3 separate regions of the Mus musculus genome follow, and all the other regions are reported to be linked to region 2. The links are microRNA targets in miRTarBase. Many come from high-throughput screens and were not tested one by one. Region 2 holds a microRNA gene; each other region holds the end of a gene's coding sequence.
What was found. The annotated mature microRNA mmu-miR-1191a reads CAGUCUUACUAUGUAGCCCUA and lies in region 2 at 2,078-2,098, shown strand. An mRNA with a match to its seed (bases 2 to 7 or 8) in the 3' UTR can be bound and repressed. Matches are read on the target gene's strand: a 7mer-m8 pairs with bases 2 to 8, a 7mer-A1 pairs with bases 2 to 7 and ends in A, and an 8mer does both.

Region 1 (3,255 bases), not on the chromosome of region 2:
ACTTTGTAGACCAGGCTGGCCTCAGACTCAGAAATCTGCCTGCCTCTGCCTCCCAAGTGCTGGGATTAAAGGCGTGCGCCACCATGCTCGGTGGGTGGAGGCGTTTTCTTATCTGAGGTTCCTTCTTCCCAGTTACCTGGGGTTTTCAGTGGGCATCGCTTTGTTACCTGGGGTTTTCAGAGGGCACCACTTTGTGCTCAGACCAGGGATGATGGAAAGTTACAGAATGAATACCCACGACCACCCCACCCCCCACTCCCAAAGAGAAGCCACACGCTACAGTAAGCAGTGGCTAGGGTAGAGGTCCCAAGGAATGCCAAGAGCCCTAGGCAGCTTATGGAACCTACAGGGACTGGGAGAAAGTGCGCCTTGCAGGGATCTCACAGCAGGAGCCCCTCAGGGTAGCCGCCACTGTGTTGTTGCTGAGAGTGGAACCCAGAGCCTTGTGCATACTAGGCAAAAGTTTTGCTCACCCCAGACCCTTCGGGTAGGTTTTTTAACAGGTGTGACCGGCCAGAGCTCCGGGCCCTGGGCCGTTAGGGTCCCCCAGGCTGCTCTCTGAAAGGCTTTGGTTTCTAATGCAGGAATTCACCGTCCCCCAGCTCCGTGGCCAGCAGTGACTCAGGAAGTACAGACGAAATCCAGGAAGACCTGGAGCGGGAGGCGGATGTGGAGCCCATGGTCAGCTGATGACGGAGGCCCGACGCTCCTGGTGGTCTTGGTGATGGGGTCCAGCCTCCTCTCCCCACTGAGCCGTGTGGGCTCCACTCCTCGACACAGACTTCTGTCCTCCCTTCTCCGGAGGCCCAGCGGGACCGCTGCTTCCTTCCTTCCTCCACCACCGACCCATGGAATGGTGCTGTCGATTTTTCTATTGTCCCCACACACACCACAAACGCAGACTTTTGTGCGTCGATGCAGTGCAACTGTGCCTTCTCCCTTAAGCTGAGCCACTTTGAGCTCCAAAGAATTCTTCCTAGCAGGTGTTTTTTTAAATATAAAACTCTAAGGTGAGGGTGGGGCCTGGAGGCGTGGTAGCTTTTGGTTTTCTCCCTCCCACCTGCTCCTCTGATTGGACATGAGCTTTGCTCCCTCCCTCTGTCCCAAGATGACTTGCGGTGGTCTGCTTTCTCAAGGAAGTAGACTGTGTTACCTCCAGAGCTGGGCGAGGAGGAGTCGTCAATACTTTCTCACCCAGGGATAGAGTGGTGGACGGAAGTGGAGGGAGGGAAGACCAATTTTTTTCTTCTTCTTTTGGATCTAGTGGCGATGTATCGGGGAAAGGCACTGTGGGGGAAGGAAGAACCTCACTGTGTTTAAACTATGCAAAAAACAAAAACAAAAAACAAACAAACAAAAAAACCTAAAAGCAGCTTGCCTTATATCATTGGGGAAGGCAGGCCCTCTCTCAGACTTCTGGGAACTGGGAGAGAGGCCAAGGTTGGCATGAGTCCCTCATAGCCTCTGAGGTTCAGAGGTGGCTTTGGGGGTGGTCCCAGTCAGATTGCTGGTAAGGCCTGCCTGCATTCTGCAAGCCGGCCCACTGGACTGATGGTTTTCTTGGGGACCTCTGTGGGGTGGGGTGGGGTGGGTGGTGGTCTTTTATTTTCCTGATGACTTGATGTTCATTCCCGCCTCTCCAATCACCTGCCAGGTTCCATGGTTGTAATTTCTCTGTGAGAAAGTATGAACAGGCCAGGCCTGCTACCTACTCTGTCCTCCACAGTACCGTCTTGGTCCTCCGTTGTCCCTCTGGCTGGGGGGAAAAAGCCTTGTTGGGGGGGGGGGAGTGGCATGGCTGCTGGCAGGCTGGCAATGACTGGAGAGAAGCCTCAAGTGAGGACCGTCCTCATTCATACATGCTTTCCATACCCATCTGTCTGGACGCTGAGCCAGTGATTCCCCAAGGCTCCCCTGGGGCCTGAGGTAAGGGGCCATAAGATAGAGCATCCGTCTATCAGAGAGCAGCTGGCGACTTGCCTAGCAACAATCAGGTTTTGTTTTTATTTCTTTCCTTATTTTGGGGTCCACTCTAGTGGTTTTGATGGCCTATGTTGTTTTTATTGACCCAGTGGGTTCCTCTGGAGTTCAAAGGAACAAAATGTCCCCAGGGATCAGAACCCATGGCCCTCTGAGGCCTGGGTGGTAAAGGGCAGAGGACTCTGGAACCATAGTGGTACCCGAGCCTCCTCTTTATCCCTCTGTTTCTCTCTAGGTGGTTCCATTATCTGTTTTGCACTTAGAGCCAGTGTACATAGTAGGCTTATGTATGGATAGAGAGGAGAGAGGATGTGTTTGTTGGTGGCTTGTAACTTATCAGAACTTGGTGGCCTTTCTTACGTGTGTCTTCCATGATGTGGGGAGGGGTTTCCCATTGGTCCCTGTGCAGGTACTTGGAGGGACAATTGTTTGGGAAAAGACACAGCCCCTGTCCTCACTATTCTCTTCCCCTTTCTCACCAATCCTTCTTTTAAAGGTTACAGGGTTCATACACTTCTGGTTATTATTATTGTGTGTTATTGATATTATTGTTTTGGTTTTATTTTATTCTATGTTATTTTTTTAACCAAAGGTTATCAGAGCCAGATGGGCCTGGACCTTAGCTGCTGTAAAGATTTCCGTTTCTGTGAGGGCAGGAGGAGGGTTGCCCTCATGGGTCCTTGACTGAGGTTGGGGACCGTTTCCATCCAGCGGTAAAGCGGTAGAGTCTGGTAGTCAGGTGGGCAGAGCAGAAGCCAGCCCTTGATCGTTCTTCATGGAGGTGGTGGGCTGACATGTATCTCTAGCGTTAAGACAGGAAGCAACAGCGTAAACGTTTGAGGGGATGGCTGTGTACACAGCTACTGTGTAGTTGCTGGTCTCTGGTGTTATTTAACTTTCCCACCTGTATACATAGGTCATTTGTCTGGTGTGCATGAGAAAAGCAGACTCCTTTGGGTTCCCTCCTGCTGACTTTCAAAGTCTGCTTTCCCCTGGGAGGTGGAGCTCTGAGGCAGGAGGATGAGTGGAGAGGAGCAAGGGTGTGGTAGGCATGTTTCCTGGCTTGGTCTGGGCTCTGGGCCTGGCCTCCTCTTAGTGTTTGGTTTGTTCGTTTCGTAGTTCGTTGCCAGTGGGTCCTGCTTGTGCTCACTGTGAGCCCACAGCTTGCCCAGAAAGACCCCACCCCTCACTGGGGCCGCCTCTCACTGGGGCAGCGCCTGCCCTGTCTGGACGAACTTGTCCACCCGTGTAAACATGTACATATGTTCTCTTGAC
Region 2 (3,255 bases):
TCTGTGAGGACTTTCTGGGGCAGCTGGAGGTGTTGGGTTTTTTTTTCCTTAGAATGCTATCTCCATCTTCAATATGCCATGAGAGGCAGGACTTCAAATACCCAAGGCATGGAAGCCAGAGGCCTTGCCGTGTACCCACAGAGCCCTACTAACCTTGTGGTAGCTAGGCAGCACCTGGCTGTAACCTAGGCAACTCACATCCTCTTCCTGTCCCCCAGGGGTCCTGATAGGTGTGCAGAATGTGCCAAGCCCTGGCTACATTGAAGACTCTGAGCTACCAGGCCTCTTCCACCCAGTGCCTGGTGCACCCCACCAACCACCATCCTTCCCAGAGGAAAGCTCCCCAGGTGCCCTCTTCCTTCTCTCCAAGCAGGGCAAGAGTTGGCATTACCAGCTGTGGGACTACAGCCAAGTCCGGGAGAGCAACCTGCAGCTGACAGACTTCTCACCCGCAAGGGCTGCCGATGGACAGGTGTACGTGGTACCTGCTGGTGGGGTAGAGGCTGGCCTCTGTGGCCAGGCCCTGCTGCTCAGACCACAGGAGGGAAGCCATTAGCTGGGGCTGGGACACCTGCATTGAACTTAACTCTATCAACATTAGAATGCTTCAGCTTCTTCCCCTAATGTGACATTTTCAGTCCAGTTAGTTTCATTTGATGAGAGTATCTTGAAGGCCGCCTGCCCGGAAATCTTTCACTAGATCACCCCATATATGGAGTCACAAGCTTGACCACTGTCCAAAGTCTAAACTAGTTACCTTCAGAATCAAGCATTCCTTTGACTAAGGGAGACTTGGTTTTGTGGAGGGTTTGTTTTTTAAAGCATGGTCTCTGCCTTGCAGGTGGTAGCACATATTCTAAACCCAGCACTCGAAGGTGCAGCAGCGGCTCTCAACCTGTGGGCCATGCAGCCGTACTTGTACTACTGTGTTTCTTCCACCCCTTCAACCTCCTAATGGTAGACAGGAGAGAAAAGGATGGAGGGGAAAGGGGCCAGCATTATCCTTCAACTACTTGCTGCTGATTGGGGCGTCAAGTTCCTTGGGGGGAAATTTGATCTTTGCTGTCAGGATATCTAATGTCTTCTTCCTCTTTTTTCTTTTCCCTTAAGATTTATTTATTTATTCATTTCATGTATGTGAGTAAACTGTAGCTGTCTTCAGAGATACCAGAAGATGGCATTGGATCCCATTACAGATGGTTATGAGCCACTATGTGGTTGCTGGGAATTGAATTCAGGTCCTCTGGAAGAGCAGCCAGTGCTCTTAACTGCTGAGCCATCTTTTCAGCCTCCCTAAATTTATTCCTTTTGTTTTGTTTTGTTTTGTTTTTTTGGTTTTTTTTTTTTTTTTTTTTTTTGAGACAGGGTTTCGCTGTGTAGCCCTGGCTGCCCTGGAACTCACTCTGTAGACCAGGTTGGTCTCAAACTCAGAAATCTGCCTGCCTCTGCCTCCCGAGTGCTGGGATTAAAGGCACCTAATTTATTCTTGTTTCTTCTTTGTTCACAACTACTTAACAAACCACAACCAACAACCCCTCAACACCCAGGACCCTGGACATTTATTTATATAACATCTGAAAAGCCCCCAGAATTCCCAAGGTCACAGTCTCAGAAACTATTTGCAGATGGCAAAATCATACCCCTGCTACAGCATGAAGCAAATCCCAGCTGCTGTGGACAGCCCATATTCCACACCTGGGATTAAAATGAAAACATACTCCCATAATATTTCTATGTTTTTCAAAGAAACCAAAATTTTTGCTACAGAGTCATGACCCCTTTGGGTGTCAAAAGACCCTTTCACAGGGATTGCCTAAGACCATCAGAAAAAATATATATTTACTTTATGATTCATAATAGTAGCAAGATTATAGTTATAAAGTAATGATGAAAATAACTTTATGGTTTGGGGTCACCACAACATGAGGTTATTATTCAAGGGTTGCAGCATTACAAAGGTTGAGAACCACTGAGATAGAGGTAGCTGATCTGTGAGTTTGGAACCAGCCTGGTCTACATAGCAACATCTAAGCCAGCCAGGGCTACATAGTGAGAACCTGCCTCAAAAGCAAAACAGCAGTCTTACTATGTAGCCCTAGATGGCCTAGAACTCCCTATGCAGTAGGCCAGGTTGGCCTTTGCTTCCTGTGTCCTGGGATTAAAGGCCTGTTCCTACATGCCTAGCCTAGAAGGCTCTTGGTAGTAACTCAGACCCTAGTCGTGGCCCTCCCACCTGAATGTGACATCCACTGGTCTTTCTTTGGGGGAATTGTTAAAGACACTGTCAGTTCACAGAGCAGGACTTAGCCCAGCTTCCTTCTCCTTGGCACACTCAGACTACCCCGTCTACCTGACCGCTGTGCTGGCCTTTCAGATACTGAGACTGAGGTGCCAACGACAGCCTTGAGCTAAATGATGATCACTCTCCTTGAGCTGGCAAGATGGCTTAATGGGTAAAGGTGCTTGTCAAGCCAGATGACCCAGGGCCCCGAGCGACAGAACAAGAACCGATCCCCACAGGCTGCCCTCTCACCTCCATTCACATTCACAAAATTCAAATGTAATAAAAAGATGTTTTAAACCTTACTCCCCCTAACTTCTCCATCTTAGCTCCAATATCATTTCCTCTTCAAAGAGCTCCTGGGATGCCTCCCTTCCACACAGTGAGGAGGAGAGGAATACGATGTTTGTTTGGGTTTTTTTTTTTTTTTTTTAAAGACAGATTTTGTCATGTTCGTTATGCAGTCCAGGTTAACCTTGAACATGCTACATCCTGTCCAAAGCTGCGATGGTGGTACAGGCCTGTAACCCCAGCATTTGGAACACAGAAGCCAGCTAACAGTCCATGCTCATCATCAACTCCATGACAAGTGCAGGGCCAACTTGAACTATGTAAGACTCTTACATAGGCAGTGCAGTGTGTGCCTCTTCTAGTGTATCAGCTCTTCAGGACTGTATGGAAAGTGACAGGCACCCGGGACACCTGCTCAGAAGGGGGCAAACAAGCCTGGGGGGCTGCAGTGCTCCCAGCCAAAGGTCACATTCTAGAGGAGCTATATGGTGACAGTGTCAAGGCACACACCCATCCCAGCACTCTGGAGGCTACACAAGAGGACCTCTAGTTCCAGACCAACCTAAGCTACACAGTTGAGGAGATGGCTCAGCAATTAAGAGCACTCCCTGCTTGCAGAGTTTGGATCCCAAATCAGGCAGGTAGAGCTGTAACTTCAGCTCTGAGAGCAGGCAGTCCAATGC
Region 3 (3,255 bases), not on the chromosome of region 2:
AGCAATTTTTATTCTCCTGTAACAATTCTTTAAAATCAGAATATGGGTAGATCTGAGATTGGAACACAAGCTTCTACAGGAGGCTCTGGAAAACCAAACCCAAAAACATGACAAGAGTGCAGGTCTGGTTTGTCCAGCTCAGGGGTCTACACATAATTACACAGTAACAGGTGAGGTACTTCCCCTGACTCTTGCAACTATAGAACTAAGACTATGTGCCATACATTATGTGTGCAAACTGCCAAAGAGCTTGGCATGATGATACCTGCCATTCAGGATGTAAGCAAGAGAATCTAGAGTTCAAGGTTAAGGTGGGCCACATAAAAGGTTCAGGCCAGCTTGGACTAGATAGTAAGACCTTGTCTCTAAATGTATAAATAGATAATTTCAAACAAGCTTAAAAAGAATCCTGAGTCACTGGATGGATACCCAGCATCTCACACACACACACACACACACGTACGTACGTATCAATCTTTATACTACAATATCCCAAGGCTAGAGAAATAGCTCAGTGGTTAAGAACATGAATTATTCTTGCAGAGCACTGAGCTCAACTCCCAGAACCATATCAGACAGCTCACAACTGCCTGTAACTCCAGCTCCCGTGACCTAATAGTCTCCTGACTCCCCCAGGCATGTACACACAGAGACATGGAGGATGGATGGATGGATGGATGGATGGGCGGGAAGTTGATAAATAAAAATTTAAAAATACAATAACTGCTTGATTTTCATTGTTATCTTTTATTATCTTACAATATATTTCAAAAACTGCCATTATAGTTGCCTTGAGATCTCTGAGAGTCCTTGAACACCTAGACACACACAAACTTCAGTCTGAAATACCAACCGACCTGGACCATCACTACCAAAAGGGCTACAGTTTTTAAATAAATGTGTGACAATGCAAAATAAAATAAAAACCTGTTGAAACAGAAAGTAAACTTTGCTTTAATGGATCTAGAAAGGAGGTGATTTGTTGTTTTGTCTTCAACACGTCTGGTTCTGGCAGCAAGCAGTTACACAGCTTAGAGATGTGCCCTGAAAATGTCTGCTTTCTGCTTGTACATAGCACTTGAATCAGAGACCAGACGTGGGGAAAATGCTCTAAAAGCCTTCAACACCCTCCTTCCAGAAAGCCAAATGTTAATAAACTTAATGGTCTCATGGGCCATAGGATTGTACGGTTATTTCTCCTCAGCAACACTGGATGGCTTCAATGATCTCTAAGAGAGAGACAGCAAAGATGTAAGGAAACCCTCCAGGGTCCAACTTCCCTTCACTTTCTCCAAGTAGCAAAACAGCAGCTCTACCTGGTAAAGATGCATTTCAGTTTCTTCCTGTTAGTTTTAATGATGTTGCCTTTAAATAGATTTAGCTGACTTCTAAAAAGAAATATTAGTTGTCAAATATGTTAGAATCTTAAGAAAGCATCGCATACGTGTACTTCAGTCTTAAAGAAAAACACAAGTGTATGTCTGTATATATCTTACCTTCACTGAAGTCAGTTTTCTGGATAGATATGAAGAATAAGAATAAGTGATCACTGCTGGCTTGCTTCCTTTCTAAGCAATAACGTGGATCCCGTTTTAGTCAAACTGACTGCAGCCCTTTCTTAATAACCACAAAAAGGCAATAAGCCCAGCATCTCTGGGATGGGTATGTGTTGATGTCTGACATCAGACCAACCAAGGTGGCACTGCGGCATTCTAGGCATCCAATTTCCTTTTCAAGTTTGTCAGTTGTTTAAACTATTAATTTTCTCTAGCAGGATACAGTGTCACCACAGAGTAAGGCCAAGAGACCATCTGCTGCTCAAACATCACAGTGGACTTAATTCTTAAAAGCCACTCTAACTGGTGAGCAGGAGTCAACAGAGCCAGGCTTGGCCACATTCAAATCCTTCCAAAAGCACTTTACAGCAAATATCCCTGTGTTTTAACTGGCCTACAGTAATCTTATTAAAATTACAGCAAGTATGACTGTACAGCTTTTTGTAGAGGTTTTTTTTTTTTCTTTTTAGGTACTTCTATGTTCAAATGAACATAATTCCATTTGCAAAATGTAATTGCTAATGTCTTTTCCATAAAACATGGTTGGCAAAATAAAAAAGGCACAGAAGGGACTAAGTAGGTAGGTTTTCAACTTTCAGAGAAGGGTACCAAAGCACATGTCAAATATCGTTCATGAAGAAAAGCTGAAAAATAATATATTCGGTAATTCATGCACAACTTGAGCTACGCAAAACTTTTTAGAAGTCTCCTGAGGCTGGAGGAGAAAATGAGTTTTCCAATCACATGCGCCTGTGAAACAGAATAAAGCTACACATACATTCGGTTTTAACAGTGGACCCATGTTTTTCAGAACAAAATGTGAGGCAATTAAGCAAAGGAAAACAATACCAAAATACCTTCATAAACAAACTTGACCTGTAGCCTCTGTCTTGTGCGGAAAATGTCCAATAAGATGTAAAATGCAGCATACATAGTCATGTAATCTAGAAACTTTCCATGATAATTTATTGCAAATTGCACTTGACAGTTCACCACAACAATGGAAAGCTGGCCCCCTGTTGGTTTGCACAGTCCTTGAGCCCCAAACTGAAGTTGAAGTCACCAGTAAAATGATCTGGATAAAAAGTTTGCTGCTGTGCTCAACCAGCTGGCTCCACCTTCAGGGTGCGATCCAACCCGGGACACTGCCTTGTCCTGCTCCTTTGTGGGACTCTCATCCTCAGGCAGGTAGTCAGGTAGCTCTGTGTTCTCTTCCACTTCCACAGGGGCATCCTGAAAAGGGACCAGCATCTGACACGGAGAAGCCGGAAGAGCCATTACAACCAACCTAACACGACACGTACATCCCCCAAGCCACATCCTCATTCTATGCATCATCTTCATTCCCAAGAGTCGCAAGGGCTCGCAATCTAACGCTTTCTTCTTTCATGCAGTCAGTCTGTCTGGGTTCTAGGACAGGAGTAACCTATCAGTGTAGAAATGGGTTAAACGGGTGCAGGGCCACTTTGAACACATCCGTGGGAAGCCAGGGAGCTCACAGCTGACAGATGCACTCCTCCTTATCACAGAAGCTAGTGCTCACCATATTTACTTGTTCAAAAGGTGTACTTTTATTTTCTTGGATTGGCAAAACTATTTCAAGTTAGAAAGAAAGTACTGAAAGAGCGTAAGGAAATGGTGTCCTTTACCCATACATGTACATCACAGCTCCACTGCGCTCAAGTTCGCCTTACAAGAG

Region 1: the mRNA of Iffo2 is a reported target of mmu-miR-1191a. The part of its 3' UTR that is shown has no 7-base or 8-base seed match.
Region 3: miRTarBase lists Armc1 as a target of mmu-miR-1191a. Seed matches in the 3' UTR shown: 7mer-m8 at 1,454-1,460.

What each region holds. Positions count from the first base shown.
Region 1 is chr4:139,615,744-139,618,998 of GRCm38, forward strand. Iffo2 (intermediate filament family orphan 2) reads left to right here. Exons shown (of 9, transcript NM_001205173.1): 9 at 585-3,255. The coding sequence ends at 690. Among named protein-coding and RNA genes, the nearest start is that of Aldh4a1, 5.5 kb to the right of the region's middle.
Region 2 is chr7:27,203,538-27,206,792 of GRCm38, forward strand. It overlaps Mir1191 (microRNA 1191), which reads left to right and starts at 1,999; the gene lies at 1,999-2,118. It overlaps BC024978 (cDNA sequence BC024978), which reads left to right. Exons shown (of 7, transcript NM_001243888.1): 7 at 219-783. The coding sequence ends at 556.
Region 3 is chr3:19,131,417-19,134,671 of GRCm38, forward strand. Armc1 (armadillo repeat containing 1) reads right to left here. Exons shown (of 7, transcript NM_028840.3): 7 at 1-2,807. The coding sequence ends at 2,616. Among named protein-coding and RNA genes, the nearest start is that of Armc1, 30 kb to the right of the region's middle.